3 linked regions of the Drosophila melanogaster genome follow. The protein of the gene in region 2 interacts with the protein of the main gene of each other region in a pairwise test. Each region holds a gene or a part of one and is shown on either strand. Other genes may lie near its edges. The genes, in order: Sf3b1, Syx16 and bi.

Evidence for each region.
Region 1: the proteins of Syx16 (region 2) and Sf3b1 interact in a two-hybrid assay, tested with the Drosophila melanogaster proteins (one large-scale study listed by BioGRID).
Region 3: the proteins of Syx16 (region 2) and bi interact in a two-hybrid assay, tested with the Drosophila melanogaster proteins (one large-scale study listed by BioGRID).

What each region holds. Positions count from the first base shown.
Region 1 is NT_033779.5:565,373-571,252, reverse strand, and holds the start of Sf3b1 (splicing factor 3b subunit 1), read right to left. Parts: upstream 2,914-5,880; 5' UTR 2,848-2,913; coding exon 2,820-2,847; intron 2,655-2,819; coding exon 1,963-2,654; intron 1,906-1,962; coding exon 1-1,905. Other genes in the region: Nle (notchless), read left to right, coding at 3,189-4,164, 4,223-4,573, 4,629-4,755, 4,815-4,827; CG2794 (uncharacterized protein), read right to left, coding at 4,924-5,880.
Region 2 is NC_004354.4:20,389,872-20,395,751, reverse strand, and holds Syx16 (syntaxin 16), read left to right. Parts: upstream 1-2,000; 5' UTR 2,001-2,109; coding exon 2,110-2,190; intron 2,191-2,264; coding exon 2,265-2,398; intron 2,399-2,460; coding exon 2,461-3,304; 3' UTR 3,305-3,418; downstream 3,419-5,880. Other genes in the region: HERC2 (HECT and RLD domain containing protein 2), read right to left, coding at 1-872; l(1)G0004 (lethal (1) G0004), read right to left, coding at 3,494-4,216; jb (jean-baptiste), read left to right, coding at 4,984-5,312, 5,369-5,497, 5,562-5,562.
Region 3 is NC_004354.4:4,409,698-4,415,577, forward strand, and holds the start of bi (bifid), read left to right. Parts: upstream 1-3,158; 5' UTR 3,159-3,223; intron 3,224-3,764; exon of another isoform or gene 3,765-4,202; intron 4,203-5,880. UniProt on the Drosophila melanogaster protein: Essential protein that may function as a transcription regulator. Vital for pupal development. Required for proper development of the optic lobes and wings, and abdominal pigmentation.

The sequences.
Region 1 (5,880 bases), on a different chromosome or scaffold from region 2:
CTCCACGGTGGTGTCCACCAGCTGGCGGTAGTTACGCCTGTCCAGGGCCATGCGGTGATTCCAGAAGAACTTGAAAAAGTGCGGAAGAATCTCCTCTTTGATGTACTGCGGTTCCACACCATCGGTGGCGCAACATTGCTTCACCACCTTTAGTACAATCTTTTTCATTTCCTCATCTGGAGACTGGAACTCGCGGATAAGAATCAACATCACTTCACGCGTATAGTAATTAGCGTACTCGGCGTCCATCAGGGGAATCAAATAGCCAATAGCCTTGAGGAAGGCGGCCAGACCTTTGCCGCGATGCGTGCGAATACCCTTCCAAAGCGGCTTTAGCACGGAATCGAAGGATTCAATGCCGTACGGAGTGGCTGCCTCTGCCAAGGCAGCAATGGCCAAGGCTGTAATTGTGCGTACCTTCTGCTGCTCGTCCACTAGTCCGTGCTCGATAATCTCCACGAGAGCTTTAAGATGCGGCAATATAGCACATCCCATCAGGATGGCAATTTGCTGGACAATTTTGATGCCAGTGTGCCGCGCTTGCCAGGATTTCTTCGACTTGCAAACGGCTTTTAGGAAGGGCAGTAAAGAGGGAATTCCCAAAGCTGAAGCGACCACGGCAAAGGCACGCGCTGTGGTGTTTCGTACATACTCGTCGATGTTGTCAATGTCCGGTCTCATAGTAGAGATCATGGTGGCCAAACCAGCGGCCTTGGCCAGGTTGGATATGATTTCTCTGCCTTCTATGCGAGCGTAGTGATCTTCATCAATCAGCAGCGGTTCTATGACCACCAAAATCTTGTGCACATAGGGCCGCACCAAATCGTCCAGTTTGTATAAAACACGATCAATTACCTTCACTAATAAATGACGCTCTTGGTCCTCCAATGTGGGCGACATAAGCAACGGAAGAATCTGGTTAAACAAAGGTCCTGCTCCGAATTCCCTTGCTTTGTCCGTAATCTGCCTCAAGGCCGACTTTCTCATTGGTGGCGAGCCGTTCTTGATGGTCAGCAGTAGCTTCATTATCTTGCGCTCCTTGAGTTCCTCAGGCGACAGAGAGTCTTCGTTCACGTCTACAAGTAGCTTGTCAAAATATTGCGCATCCTCTGGTTTCATGAAGGGGAGATTTTGCCCCTTTGGTTGGTTATCCATGAATTTGGCATTCTTGTCCTCCACTTGGATGAAGAAACCGGCTGGGGTGCCAGCAATTGGCGTAGGCGTGGCCATCAGCTTTCTGCCGGGAGTGCGCAGTGGAACATAGCCAGCTGGTGGCGGTAGAATTTTGTAACCAGGCGGAAAGATTTGGTCCAACTCTTCGTCTGTGTATGGCCTGTTTCTCTCGTCGATTTCCTTTTCCCAGCGATAGGCTTGCAATTGCTCTGGTGTCATCGCAGCCAGAGCTCCCGCAGAGGGCGTGGCCATGGCCATTGCCTTGACTCCGATAGGAGTACTGCCTCCGGGCGTCAGCATGGGAGTAGCATGTCCCGGAGTCACATGTGGCGTCATACTGGGAGTCATATTTGGAGTCATGGCACTCGCATTTGTAGGAGTAATAGCCGGCGTAGCATTCGAGGGCGTTTCATCCCAACGAGAGCGACGTTTGGAGGCCCCGGGGGTGGACTCGATTGATATGCTCTCCGCGCCGCCTCCACTGCCTGTGCGATCTGGCTTTGGAGTCTCGGCCCATCCGCTGTGTCCGGGAGTCTCACGCTCTGTTTTCGGGGTTTCGTCCCAGCGATTTCGACGGGCCGACTTCTCGTGTCCAGGAGTCTCGTGTCCTGGGGTCACAGCGTGGGCCGGAGTGGCGTCCCAGATGCGGGTGCCCAGTCCCGGCGTCGCTCCTGGCGTCTCGCTGCCCTTGTGACCCGGAGTCTCATCCCAACGGTGGTCTCCAGGAGTTTTCTACGGAGTAAATTAATATTTTATTATATCATCCATTATACTTCCCAGAATACTCACATCTTCCCAAGTTGGGGTAGCTGCGCTGCTTGGCGTGGCCATCTTGGCCGGGATGAAGCTGTCGCTGACCGTCTGGTCCCATCTGCCTCGCTTTCTGCCGCCGTCCTTTGGTGCAGGCAGGTCCCCATTTGAAGTTGACGACGATGTAACGGTCTTTACCAGAGTTCCCTCCTTGGTTTTCTCCAGGATTCTTCGGCGGAGCTCAGATTCCTCGCCCTTCAGCATCTGCTCCCGCATGATGTCCGTGTAGGTGCGAGAGCCCACATCTGGGGTTTTCCCGCCATCGGCAAAGGGATCCGCTCGCTCTGGGGAAATGATGATGTGACGTCTCTTCTGCCTGTACTCATCCTCCCGATCGGCAATCGTTGGACGCCTGCGGTCTGCCATGGGATCCACATCCTCCTTGCCCTGGGTCACGTCCTTTAGCACGGAGGCCGGCGCCGTGTACGTGGTGCGTTTCTGGGGCACGGGGAAGCCGTCGTCCTCATCCTCATCGACTTCCTCGGCGTCGTTGGCCGCAATGGAGGTGTTGTACCCCTCGTAACGCCCCTTCCCCTTGGCGGCATCATCGTCGTACAAGTCGCTGTCGAAGAATCCTCCGCTGTCCAGCAATCCCACGCCGGCTGCTGCGGCAGTGGTCTTGGCCAACTCCGTCTTCTTCTCCTGGATCACGCTGATCTGTGCCTCGATATCTGTGAGTAAAAATAGGTAAAGATACTTGATTTTCATAGTAGACCACCAGCCAGAAAAACCGGTCGATCCCCATTTGTGTGTGCGGTTCCTTTTGGTGCGCAGATAGTATATTTACGTTTTGGCAATGGCGGTGGTTTGCCACCGTGAGTGTTTATATCGCTTACCTTCATGTGTTCGCGGAATATTTTCCATTTTTATAAAAACTTTACCAAGAGAAGAGCGTACATGTAAAACCAGTGTTACCAGATGATAATAGCGCCTGGTCTAAGTGTGACCAAATACATATCATATCGTACTAGCAGCTATCGGGAAACATTCGATTTCTTAAATCTTCTCATTCCACCCGATATTGATGATGATATTTTGGACAACTTTTATTACAAAGTTCGATACAAAATATAAATGCATTATTTGTTTATTATTTTTTAAGCAAATAATAATCGATAGCTGGCAGGCCAGCTGAGCCGTCTGCCGATTGCTCATCACTAACGAACAAGTTGCGGCACGTGTTTACTTTTGTTTTGACCGCGAGAATGTTGGCCAAAAAACAGAAAATGCAGGAGACGGACACGGAGCAAGAGGCCACGCCACATACGATACAGGCGCGCCTCGTTTCGGACACGGGCGAGGAAGCGGGCCCGCCAATCGACCTGCCGGCAGGAATCACTACCCAGCAATTGGGTCTGATTTGCAACGCGCTGCTGAAAAACGAGGAAGCCACTCCATATTTGTTTTTCGTGGGCGAGGATGAGATCAAGAAGAGCCTGGAGGACACGTTGGACTTGGCGTCAGTGGACACCGAAAACGTGATCGATATTGTGTATCAGCCACAGGCGGTTTTCAAAGTGCGCCCAGTGACAAGATGCACGAGTTCCATGCCGGGACACGCCGAGGCTGTGGTTTCGCTGAATTTCAGCCCGGATGGTGCTCATCTCGCCAGTGGAAGTGGCGACACCACAGTGCGATTGTGGGATCTTAACACAGAGACACCGCACTTCACCTGCACAGGTCATAAGCAGTGGGTTCTGTGCGTATCCTGGGCTCCGGATGGCAAACGGTTGGCCAGCGGTTGCAAAGCGGGCTCTATAATCATCTGGGACCCGGAGACGGGTCAGCAGAAGGGGCGACCCTTGAGTGGGCACAAGAAACACATCAACTGCCTCGCCTGGGAACCGTATCATCGCGATCCGGAGTGCAGGAAACTTGCTTCCGCCAGTGGAGACGGGGACTGCCGGATTTGGGACGTGAAATTGGGCCAGTGCCTTATGAACATTGCCGGACACACAAATGCTGTGACAGCAGTGAGATGGGGTGGAGCGGGCCTTATTTATACATCCTCCAAAGATCGCACAGTGAAGATGTGGCGAGCAGCTGATGGAATCTTGTGCCGGACGTTCTCTGGCCACGCTCACTGGGTAAACAACATTGCGCTGAGCACCGACTACGTCCTGCGCACTGGTCCATTCCATCCGGTGAAGGATCGCTCCAAGAGCCACCTCAGTTTGAGCAGTAAGAATTCATATGCTCTCTATATATGCTGTATATCCTAAAAGAGATTGTTTTACAGCTGAGGAATTGCAGGAATCTGCCTTGAAGCGCTACCAGGCCGTGTGCCCTGACGAGGTGGAGTCGCTGGTTTCCTGTTCGGATGACAACACCCTCTATCTGTGGCGGAACAACCAGAACAAGTGCGTTGAGCGCATGACAGGGCACCAGAACGTGGTCAACGACGTGAAATATTCGCCGGATGTAAAGCTAATTGCGTCTGCTTCATTTGACAAGTCAGTGCGTCTGTGGCGAGCCAGCGATGGTCAGTACATGGCCACCTTCCGGGGTCATGTGCAGGCTGTTTACACGGTTGCCTGGTCCGCGGACTCCCGCTTGATTGTTTCCGGCAGCAAAGACTCAACTCTAAAAGGTTAGCACGTAGTTTCAGTTTTCTAGCGCTAGCTAATACATATCCTCTTGCTTAGTATGGAGTGTGCAGACGAAGAAACTGGCACAGGAGCTGCCTGGACATGCGGATGAGGTGTTCGGAGTGGACTGGGCGCCCGATGGCTCTAGAGTTGCCTCTGGTGGCAAGGACAAAGTTATAAAGCTGTAAGTTTGAGTAACGAGGTTTTCTATAACAATATACAGACTCTAATTGTATCTTTCAGATGGGCTTATTAACAAATCATTAACTTGTACACGGTAAGAAAATACTTAGGAATAAAGTAAAACGTCCTGAGTAAATGCCTTCGTTCTTTTTGGTGTTCAAAGTACCATCTATATGCTCTGCTGTTGAATGATCCGGGCAGTATGCTTGTAGCGACTCTCAAAAGATTCTTGATTTGAGAAGTACGTTGCGGGAACGGCGGACTCAGACTGCAGTGCCCTTTCAGCGGCCACAAAGCCGCCGGCGATGCACTCGTCCAGAGATCGCCCTCGCAGCAGGGCAGTGATGAAGCCCGCGCAGAAACTATCGCCCGCTCCGGAGACATTCACAATATTGTGAACCATGGGAGCGGGATAGAAGCGAGTGCTGTGTGGCGGCGTGGGCTTACTCACATCGAGGAGCAATCTGGCATCGTTTTCAGCGTCCCCTCGATAGCTGAGTAGCACCCCGTGGTCACTCAGCGTAGCTATGATGCAATTGAAGTGGCTGTCGATTTTTTTGATCAAGGACTTCGCTTGCTGAACCAGTTCCGTTTGTGGCTGTTTGGTTTCTGGATTCCATTTGACAGTTTCGCCCGTTATAGCCTCCGTAATAGTTTTCAACTCCTGCATATTCGGTTTGATCAGGCGTATGTTCTTGGTTAACTCCGGCAGCAGCTTGAACGGTTTACCGGCTATGAACATATCTGTGGGCTCGAAGAAGACTGGAATCTTGTTGATTTGCGCCTGCTGCAGAATGCTGGCCATGGCCTGCTCCGATATGTTGCTGTCCATGATGATGAGAGGAGCTTCTCGGAAGAGTTGGTGGTGCGCTTGCAGGGTCTCGGCTGTAATGCTCTGGTGGATTTCCATGTTGCCCAGAATCAGCTTGCAATCTCCAAACTTATCGAAGATTAGGGAGCACAATGAGGTGTTGTGGTTGTCCGCCACAATTAGGCCCCGCTTCAGCGCCTTTGGCATCATTTGAAGCAGCGTTTGTCCCATCTGGTCGTTTCCCACGGCGGAAATTAGGTTTACATCTCCGTATAGCTTGTAGATGCCCTCAGCTATGTTCCGACCCACTCCCCC
Region 2 (5,880 bases):
GGCTGTGACTCCACTGCAGCATTGGCGGTTGTGGCGGCAATGGTGGTGTTGGCGGTGGTGACACTGGCCACCGCCTGTGCGCTTGTCGTGGACTTGCGTTCCCGTTCCCTCTCCCTTTTCAGGGCCACGAAGTAGCGCTCGTAGATGAAGAGTTGCTGGCGAAGATGCTGGGCAGAGAGACAGTTGCCGGCTGCGCGTAGAGCTAGCTCCTGCAGCTCCGAGATCATAGAACGCTGGCAATCCAAACGCGCCTGCTGCGAAGGTGGCTGGCTCCAGAGCCAGCCGCTCAGAACCATGTCGGTGGCCTGGCTAAGATGGGCTGCTTGCTGGGCGGCAGCTTGGGTGGTAAGCTTTTTGATGGCCGTGTCCGAGTCCAGAGGCCGACAGCCGTCGCAATTGCAGGCGGAGAGAGGACCGCAGTACTCCGGCTGGCAGCAGGAGCACTTGAGCTGCTGAGCGCCGCAGTAGTGCTTGCCATCGTCGCCCAGGTAGGATAGTTGTCCGCGGGCATTTAGGAGCGGCGCGGTAGGCGACGAGACCAGCTCGCAGTCCTGGATCAGATGGTTCCACAGTACGGCGCCGTCGGCGGCGTTGCGCAGGGAGGCGATGAGATCGGCGCGCAGCCACTTGGCGTCCAGAAAGGGCAGCGGGCGCAGGTAGAGATCGGGCGAATGGCTGGGCGGTGCTGCTGATCCGGAACCTGATCCCGATCCAGATCCTGCTGCGGAGCCTGCTCCTGCCGCTGCTCCACTGGCACCTCCACCCCCTCCTACTCCAACTCCAGCGGAGACTGGTGCTGCAGAAGCGGTCTGGCTGGACCCAGCACCCTGGCCACTGGATCCGGCTCCTCCGCTCGCCTGGCGGTTGAACATGTTTGTGTTTTCGTGTTGCCTTCCCTAGTGCTCCACCGCCGAAGTCAGGCTAGAAACGAGCTCGACCACAACCACAACAACGACAATGGCATGGCACAGTTACCCCTTCAAGGGGGGTGTGGTGGTGGGTTGGAGCGCGGGTGGGGGCGGGGGCGAAGGCGGGTCAATGTCGTCACTGGCACACACACTAAGCACACGCACACGCGCGCAAGCACACACACAACTGCAATCGGGCGTCCAGGATCAGGATAATTCGTTGTTATCCTTGTCCGCACTGCTCATTTCGTTGTTCCGCTCGGAGTTAGTTATGACATCCTGACTTTTCCACCCGCACTTGAACTCTCCGTTTTCCGCGCTTGCTGCTTTCGGGTCACAATTGGAAGTGCCAGTTACCAGTACAATGCAATTTGAAATCAAGGAATTATTTTAAAATGAAATAAAATTGTTTGATGGCAATCGATATCAGGGGGAGGTGCAAACTGACTGAGCTATCAAGTAATCGATATCAGGGGGTCGAGCCATCGATATGTTTTGCCTTTCGATAGCTCTTCAGTGTTCTTAAGTCACAGGCTTGTGTCACGGATTAAAACCCAGTACAGTGGAAGCTGGCTATTAGAAAACGTTAAGCCAAACTCATAATGAGTTCCCTAAAATTCTGTAAATTTGTAATTTTTAAACATTAGCCTAAAATGTACTTGATTCTAAAATCATTTACAATATCATTCGGTTATATTACTCTTTCGTAACGCAAAAAAAGAGAACGCACATAACAAATTATTGAATACTTTTATTGTACTATTACGGTCGTTTTATTGCTAAAAGTATTGCATTTCAATTTACGTGACGGTGTGTACAGAATTAACTTTATAAATTGTTGAAACTCAACAAAGCAATACTATATTCTGTAATTTCCGAATATTTCTATTGGAGCTATCCAATCCGTATATTGAAAAAATCACTTTCGCAAATAGGATGTTTAGGAGTATACATATAAAGTACAGATTCTACAGATAATAAGAAAATAATATTTAAAATAAGTATAATTCTCGGACATGTAACGGTGCGTTCAGGCCAGGGTGACCAGTTCGTCGTGGCGACTATCGGTATTCTGGGCGAGCAAGTCAGCGGGCACACTGCGCTGCTGTGTCAAAACGAAACTGGAAAAAATCTGATTGAGTTTTCAGCGGACTTGGATCAATCCTTCCAATCCCCAAGAAATCGGGAGCAGACGGCCAGGATGACGTCGCGCAACCTGACGGAGGTGTTCGTCATCATGCGCAACAATGCGTCCAAGAACCGGAATCACTACGACGATCGGGTGAGTGCGTCTCCGTCTGGGGTCTTCACTGTTATCATCAACTAACATATGTTTTGCGTTTCTCCGTCTTCCAGAGGGGCAGCGATGCGGAGCGCCTTCTAAAGCACTCGGTGCGCGAGGCGGAGGAGGGACTGGAGCTGCAGGACGACTACGGCACGCCGCCCGCCTGGCTGGACAAGTTCGAGGAGGCGCAGTACACCATGTCTAAGTGGGTAAACAAACAGTAGTCCATGCGCAGGGTTCAACTTCACTCCCATCACTCGTTTGCAGGATCAAGCCTAAGCTGGATGAACTGGGCTCCCTGCACGCACGCCACCTCCTGCGACCCGCCTTCGATGATCAGCGGGACGACGAGTGCGACATCGAGGTGCTCAGCCAAATCGTCTCCAAGCTGATCACCTCCACGCACCGGCACATCCAGTGCGTGCGCAGCAGCATCGGCGTGGGCAGCAAGATGGAGCAGTGCCTGACGGTCAACGCGGTACACTGCGCCCTGCTCCAGCTGCAGGAGCTGACGGTGAAGTTCCGTGCCAGCCAGAATGCCTACCTGCTTCAGCTGAACTCCCGCGAGGAGCGCTCGCAGAAGTACTTCGACGACGGCGGCGGCGCTGGCGCTGGAGACGTCTTCACAAACGTGGAGCTGGGCGAGCAGAGCGCCGAGAACTTCGTCGACTCCTTCGACAACTTTCTGCAGCCGCCGGCGGAGGGCAAGTCCGGCAACGGCTATCTGTTCGAGGACGACGAGCAGGCCATCGACGATCACTTCCAAAGGCCGCCGGCCAGCCGGATGACCCAACAGCAGCTGCTGCTCTTCGAGGAGGAGAACACGCGGGTGGCGCAGCACCGCGAGCAGGAGGTGACCAAGATAGTCAAGTCCATCTACGACCTGAACGACATCTTCAAGGACCTGGGCCACATGGTCCAGGAGCAGGGCACTGTGCTCGACCGCATCGACTACAACGTGGAGCAGACGCAGACGCGCGTCTCGGAGGGATTGCGCCAGCTGCACAAGGCGGAAATGTATCAGCGCAAGAACCGCAAGATGTGCGTCATTCTCGTCCTGGCGGCGGTCACATTCTTCATGCTGCTGCTGCTCATCCTGACCAAGCTCTAGTTGCCCACGCGCCTCCAGTGGGCCGACCTCATTCCCGTCATTCGCTGTGTGTGTTTGTGTATATTGTAAATGTTTGAATACATGTTATTATATTTATTATTTATTGCTAATGCTAAAAAAAAAACCGCAACTACTCCCTCTCAAGTCGAACTCCACTCCAGTCCAGTCCACTCCAGTCCGCTCTCCCAATCACATGCGCTCCGAGAGGCGCGAGGCGACTGCCCGCAGGTTGCCATACACCTTGCTGGGCGGCGAGCCGAGGATTAGGTTGCAGACGGCCCGGCGCGCAAGCTGAATGTTCTGGTAGCTGCCCAGGATGTGGATCTTGCTATCGGCTAGCACGATGCGGGTCTTGGTCACGTTCTCGATGGTGAATTTGGTGCGGCCGCCCTTGCCGGCGAGGCGGCCGATGGCGCGAGACTGGTGGTCGCCGCGCAGCGTCTTCACGTCCTTGATTTCGAACGACTCGACGAACAGGTCCTCCAGACGCAGCAGGGCCAGGGCGTCGTCCACCTCGAAGCCGCAGAGAAAGGCGCGCACGAAGTCGGCGCCGCGCTGCAGGTTGGCTATGTCCGGCGTCTCGGGGCCCACACGCAGCTCCACCTGGCGCGCCTTCATGTTGAAGCGGATCTGCAGCTTCATGTGCTCCACCACGGGCGTAAAGATCTTCATCCAGTGCTCCTTGAGCGAGGAGTACCTGTGTGGCGGCACGGATACCTTGCGCAGCTCGCTTCTGGCCCGCTTTGCCTTGGGCGGCGCCGATGCTCGCGAAGATCCCAGCACCTGGCCCTCAATGCCGGTCGCCTCGTCCACCTGCATCTCCACGTCCTGCTGCCCGCCTCCGCTGGCTCCGCGCTTCGTCGCTCTCTTCGCCGGCTCGAATGCGTCTGCTCTGATGTTCTCTGCCTCCATGGTGCAATCTGTTGTGCTTTTACTGCGTTGTTTCCAATAATTTCTCAATCCAGCTGCTTTGTCTGCTCCACGTGCTCAGTGTGACCGCGCTCGAATCTGAGATTTCAAATACATCTGTAGCTGAATACCACACCACTGAATTTCGACGAAAATACCAATGCGTATGTACAATTCTACACTGGCTAAAAAGTATGTAGAATGTAGAATTCCGAAATATAATACGCCTGAATTCTTGATAAGAAACATCATTGGATTTGAAGGCTGATTGAAGTGCGAATTCATATTTGATCACTCATTGAATTATTGCTGTTTCAAAAGTAATAATTCAAGTACAGCCTAAAGCTATAAGGTGACGTCACTGTCATATAGAACAACACAATGTAAATTCTCAAAAGATGGCAAAGGGTACCGAAAGGAATAATGGTTTCTGTTAGGCCCATATATATGTATATATATACTGTTATATATATACTGTTAATATATAATAACAGTATATATGTACATATATACTTAATCTTAATTTTGGAATCATATTCAGATAACTGTTAATCAGCTACAGACGAGTGGGATAAATATAATTTAAATATATCATAATAATTTTATAATATATATAATATAATTAAATATAAATCATTTTTGCATAATTATTAAATGCAACCCTTTCATTTTCAATCAATCAAAAGGTAGCCTATTTTTGACATTTGGTTTGCTTTGGTCCCTATTGAATTCAGTTCACATCTAGAACCCGTACCGGAGAAACCATTTCCATGTCACAACGGAACTTCAAGATGCCAAATCCGAACAACGAATCCCATTCCTATTTCCTCCGGAATATTCCGGAAGAATTGCAGCCTCAGTTTACGCGTGGATTCAATCAGTGGATGGGCAATCAGTCTACGATGACTAAGGGTTTGCCATCCAATACAGTGAATAAGTCTGCCCAGACGGCATCTGTCAATGATGGCAACTTGCAAGCTAGCGTGATCGCAATGCTGGCAGGAATGGACTCGATCTTGGACATGGAGCAGCCTAACAGAAGTCCTTCGCGCGAAGAGCACGAGCGCCTAAATGAGCTGTTGTTCAGCAGCAATTTGCTGTGAGTTGAAGTAATTCGTGGTGAGAGTCCTGACATAAAGTTCATAGTTTCATTAGCATGCTGGACGTAAAGAAGCGAACGTTTCCCGTGGAGGACCCAACTGGGTATTTAACTTCGGTTTCAGAGCAAAATCCAGATGGGAATCCGTTGGCTAAGCGACTAAAGCTAGAGCGTCCTCAGGGCTGGTAAACAAGTCTCACGAGGAATTACCTTCATTCTACACATATTCAATCATACATATCTTTTCAGACACTAATGACCAATGTCTCTTCCTCAGAGTCTCTCAACCATACAGGACATTAACGAACCATTAAATAAATCACTATAAAAATAAATCACAAAATAGTTCAGAAGAGCCGTTTTATTTTACCAGTTAAGGTCGGTAATTGAAAGAGTTTCGCAAAAGAGGCACGCAAAAAGGTATACATACATAGCTCATACACCTTTAGCTTAGTAATGGGTATCCGATAGTCGATGGTCGACGTGGAGTATGTGCATATGTATATGTGACTTTTTAATATATAAATATACATATATGTATGTGTTGTGTGAATATAAATTCGTTTAT
Region 3 (5,880 bases), about 16 Mb from region 2:
AGGGCACACCCAACTTCTAATTCCCTGGCGGTTTTCCACATTTCCCTCGCTCATTTTACAAAAACAAAACAATGCAGAGAAGACAACAAAAAAAAAAAGAGAAAAAATGGAGAGACTCTTGTCAATTCATAACTGAAAATGAAACGTTTTCCGCTGGGCTTGTTGTTTGTTTGCAGTTACCATTATTATTGCTACTGCTCCTGCTCTACTACTACTACTACTACTATTATTGCTGCTGTTTTGTTTCATGCAACTTTTACCATAATTGCGGGTAGCATTATGACATCGGGAAGCGACAAGCGAAACGCAACCTGAACATAATTACAACAATTTGTTGTCTAGTGTTTGACAACAACAGCAACAGCAAACAGCAACAAAGGCACAGAGCAAAAAGAAGCCGAGGAGATGATTGTTGTCATGGTTGAATGATGCAACTGGAAAAGGCAGAAAACAGCAGCTACATCGGCAACAAAAGTCACGCACATTGACATTCGCCTGGAGAAACCGAAAAAGATGACACGGTAAGGCAGCCAAGGAAAGGTGGGAAAGCCTGCAGCACGCCCTCCATGCACTGGGCAAAAAAAAAAAAGACATTAGAAATATCACTGGAAAAACGCAAAACTTTCCATGTTTTGTTTGGATTTTTCTGGGGCGTTAAACCTAAGCAATTCAGACTACAAATAATAATAATAAATATTACATATTTTTATTTGGGAACCCAGTATTTGGCCCTTCTTCCTTGCAGTGCAATCCTTCCCCCGAGGACAAGGAAATACATCTGTGGCAATGTGGCAGCTCCTCTGCGATGCTCGTCACACTTCATTTCGACGCTTTCAACGCTTGTTGCGCCTCTAAATTAATTGCCACAGCCTGTGCAGCGCCAAAATTTAATGCAAAGTTTAGCAAATACAAGGAGCAAGTGTATTCCTGACCCCCCAAACGCCACCCTTTTCGTATATCCCTCGGGATCGGGAGCTTCGACTAATTAGCAGGCGAGGCGCAGGCGCCAGAGCTGCGTAAAAAAGTCGGGCTATACGGAATAGCGAATCGGTAGGATATGCGCGCCACATGCCCCATTATCAACAATTGCACATTGCGCCATATTTTACAGTTGATTCTCATCGGCCATGGCAGATGCATTCAGGAACTTCTTACATGTTATTTTTGATGTTCTGGGCATTCGGAAATGGTTTGGCAGAGAAACGAAATGTACCCTCGTTTTTTAATTGCTACACATTTATTTTATAATTATTTTAAATTTAAAATTTTTAAGATTAGTGATCTGGAATTATCAAAAATTCAATATTTGAAGCACAAATTATCCAAAGAAATAACTGACGTATTAATCATTTATTTGTTTTGAATTCAATATTTATCTGAGTTCCTACATTGCGAGCTGTAATTTCATAATCACAGCAATATCTTTTCAACATTTTTCTTTTTTTTTAAAGAAATTTTATTTTTCAAAGTTCTGTGCTTCTATTATTTCTCCAAATTTTAGCTCCCTTTTCCGAATTTGAGCCTAAAATTTCGCGCCAAAAAACCGAATAAAGCCATATAGGTGAAGTGGAAACTGAGAAATAAGGGACACGAGAAGGCACGGAGACGGAAAAGGACATTTTTGCCTGTGTGACAAAATCGCTGACTACGTGTGTGTGCGTGTTTTCCTTCTCGCCATGTAACGCTATCTCGCTTCTACACGCACACACATGAACACAAGCCCGAGACTCCGCCCACTAAGCGATCGCGATGAGATGAGAAAAAAACTCACCACAGTCCGGTAAAAAACGCTCAACTCACTCACTCAGTCATACACACACACACACACATTCACTCGCTCTCCCACTCTTTCTCACCGAGAATGCGCATTCCCTCTGGCACTTGCCTTCTCGTTCTTGCGCACATGAAACTGTGTAAAATGGTCGCCTTGCAGGGGGCGTTGCTTTATGGCCGTCTTTTTCGCACCCATGCGAAAGTGCCGCAGTGTGAGCGAGAGGGAATGCGTTTGTGGATGGAGGTTTTGAAAGCAAGAGTAGAGAAGATGCGACGTTGTAAACGAATTTGCATATTTCTACTGCTTTACGCTTATTGCATATTTTATTCATTACGTTCTGGCGCTTCGGCGGATGAAAACCCAAGAAAAGGCGAAAAGCGAAGGAAAGTGTCATATGGCATTCCGACTACCGTTAGCTCTGCGTGACATCGGTCCTCCCTTTCGCACGCACAATCTTCATCCTTCTTTTTGCTTCTTGTTGAGCTTCTTCCTTTTTTAAGCTTTATAATTTATAAATTCGTTAATATATAAAAAAAAAGTTGCTTAAAATTCTAAATTCTCAGTTCAAGATATAAAAAATTCAACAATTATTCCTACGAAAATCCTTTTAAATAATTTCTTATAAGCTGTTAGCTCAATCTGAATACAGTCCCAACTATCTCTGGTTTTGTATATTTTTTCTGTAACTTAGAATTAATATTTAGTGTTTTTTTTAAAGCTGAGCTTTTTGTTTTTACTTTCATTTGATTACCAAGTATTTCCAACCCAAATATATACATATATATATGGTATATATATTACTTAACTAATAGCTACAATCATATTTACGTCTTAAAAGGATTCTTAGCTGTTTTAATATCTTAAAGCTGTTTCCAGATTTCATATACTTAAGGTCATAACAATGCCAACATCCTAGTTTGTTTTTTATTTGGCTCCTTTTACCCGAAATTGGTTCCACGTATTTCTGCAAATTTGTTTATTTTCGCTTGGCAGCGACTTAATCTGTGCTCCAGTTTTTCGTAGTATCCCCCCCCAAAAAAAATGGACACCATACACACACACATTTAACGGTTAAGCCGTTGTCCTTTTTTCCCAAGAAGTCAAAGGATGCGATTCGAATGTGCGTGAGTTATCCGGCGTGTTGTTATCCTGGCTCGGACCAAATAGGATACAAAAAAAACCTAGCATAAACCGGTTCTGAGTAAGTGCTCAATTACTCACACACACACACACACACATGCAAAGAAGTGCTCACTCAAAACGAAGCGAAACGAGGCGAATTCGTGCCTCTGCCTCTGCCGACGTCGACTGTGCTGCCGTGGTGGGTTTTGTGAAGCAAAGCGTCGAGCAGAGTGGCGAATAGCGTCATTCAAAATTGGAATTCTGTTAGTAAACGTCGACACTTCATATGAAACGAAGAGCGGAGATCACAGCGGAAAATCCAGGGGTGTACGTGGGTTTAAAACGCACAGAGGGATTTCACTCAAAGAAAGAAAGAATACGTTTATACTTATATAGGGTTAGACCAGGAGGGTAGGCTACGTATAAAGACAAGAAGAAGGAAAGCAAAGAAAGAATGGCCTCGCCAAGTAAAGCTGAGAGCATAGAGTGTAGGGATTACACAGAAGGGCTTTAAAAAGAAAATATGTAACCCACAAAATAGCAACTACAAGACTACCCACGACTTGGGTGTCAAAATGCTTGTCATTCGACAGCACGGCGAGGGGGAAAACCTATGCTAAGCTGGCCTTAGCTTTTTTGCCCGCGTGTGGTGAACATAACACGGGCCAACCCACCTCCCCCCACGCGATGGGGATTCCCCACTTTCGCATTCTGCCGGCGTCGCTGCGAACGTCGCTGCCGGCTTCTTGCACTTTGGCGCTCGGCGTCGTCTTGGCCCGGTTATTTGTTGTTTTTTTTTTTTTTTTCGTTTTTCGGGCTTTTCGGCTTTTTGGATCGTTCTCGGCCAGCAGTCGCCGCCTGTCACACGCTCACGTCAAACGCTTTTGCCGTCGCGTCGTCAGATAAACCAAATGTCTCGCCGTGTTTACGTGTGATTCCCCTTTTTTGCTTCAATCCGAAGGCAAAATAAATACACTGACCTTAACCGATACGGCTCACCGTTTAACCGCTAACCGTTAACCGTTTCGTGGCCGTCGACGATAAGGAATCAAGAAACAACATCACCCTGCAGATTCTGTTTTGTTTTGTTTTTTTGTGCAGTCCAGAATTTTTTGAAAACCTGACAAGATTAAAGAAAATTGTGTTTGAAAAGTGCGTAAAGTGTGGAGTATTTAAACTTAAAAAAAAAAACATATATAAAAATCAAACAACAGCAAGGTGGGAGGTCCAAAGAATATAAATAAAAAACACACTGGTTTCCGCCTGAGATTTTCAAAATACCGTTTCAGATCATGAAAACATAATGGTATACAAATATATTATGTTTATGCTGCCCTTGGAAATAAATAGTATACTATCAAAAAAATCTACTCCTTGGTTTTTCCCTACTTGAGAAATGAGAAATTTACAAACATTAAATGTAGAACTACTGATAATTACTTTCAATATTTTGGTGATCCAATGAGTTAATAGGAAAGTCCTTAAACAAAGCGTGGTGGAACTCCTTCCCATTATGATAATCACATCGCATAACACCAGGGAGATTGTCTAGATTGATTGATCCAACCCCCAGGAGATTCCCCATCCCGATCTGCTCAAGCGCAACGAAATCGGAACCATTATCCAATTAGCTAACTCTTTCCGAACCCGTATCATCAGTTTATCGCCTCGTCAATTGTTTTCTCATACTTTTTTCGCTACTTAACTGATGTGACAATTTGTAGCCATTAGCCGGAGGCAGTCAGTCAAACAGTCGCTAGATTTGCAAGTTGTTCAGGCATGACAAAACAAAAAAGAAAAAAAAAAAAAAACTATATATATGCAATGTATGGCGATGGATAAGGGGGGGGGGGAGAGTTGGGGAGCGGGGTTCCGGAGACGAGATCACGATCGCATCTCGACACGCAGCTAAAAGTGTAAATCAGCTCGCCTTCCATTATGTCAACAATCTCTTTGTCTGTCCGTATTATTTACATTTGTCAAATCAAATTTGACAGCTGCGGAAAACATAATATCTCAAGTCGGCGTCTGCGGCACAGTCCGGTTTTTTGTATGGGGCCTTATTCAATAGGGAGGGGATCAAGGGGATTCGCGGAGGAGATCGTAGCCGCCTAGGACCACCGATACAAACTTGTATTCAGAACTGGATTTGTCGCTTCGCTCTGTTGTGCCAAACGAACTGAGCCATGAACACAAGAATGAATACTTGGCCAAGCACTCGATCAATCTGGTCTCACACAAAGTTCTTTCACTTGAAGATGTACAAAAATAATTAGACATTTTTCTATTTATCTATTGTTATACGGAAAAGGATTTAAAACGTGCAAACATTTTGACTACTTGTTCTAATTTCGAAATACTAAGCCTGAAAATCAAGGATATTTATAAATCTAATATTCCAAGCCACTGGCTATTATCATTCGCGTTTACAGAGCAATGTTTTGTAGGAAAGGATTTTCCCCAGCACCAAAATAATTTTCTCTTTCGAGTAGTTTATTGCACTGCTTATTAGCGATTAGTGACTTTTATGACTGTTTAGAAACGTAGTACTCAACCCTTTTCGAAAGTAGGTAACAACCCTTAACCATTTGTATTACATATTAGAGAATGTTTTCTTCTTGTTTCCGAGGGAACATGCATTTTCTTTTTGATCCTCATTTAGTAGGGATTACATTATTACACAGTTGGAAATATATATTGTCTTGATCGAATTACGGAATTAAGTGTTATATATACCTAAAATAGTTCCAAAATACCACAACACATAATACCTATATCTTTTGCTGACTTCACCAATTAATTGGTGAGGTTTCCAGTCGGGGTTGTTCGTTGGTAAGCTGCTAACGGACTTATGACATGGATATGGCTATGATTCGGGAATCACGATTCAGTATTCCGTATTCCGTATTCGGTGGGGTATGTACTGTGTACTCTGCTACTATAAAATGCCAGCTCCATTGTTGTTGCTACAACCGGCGGAAGAA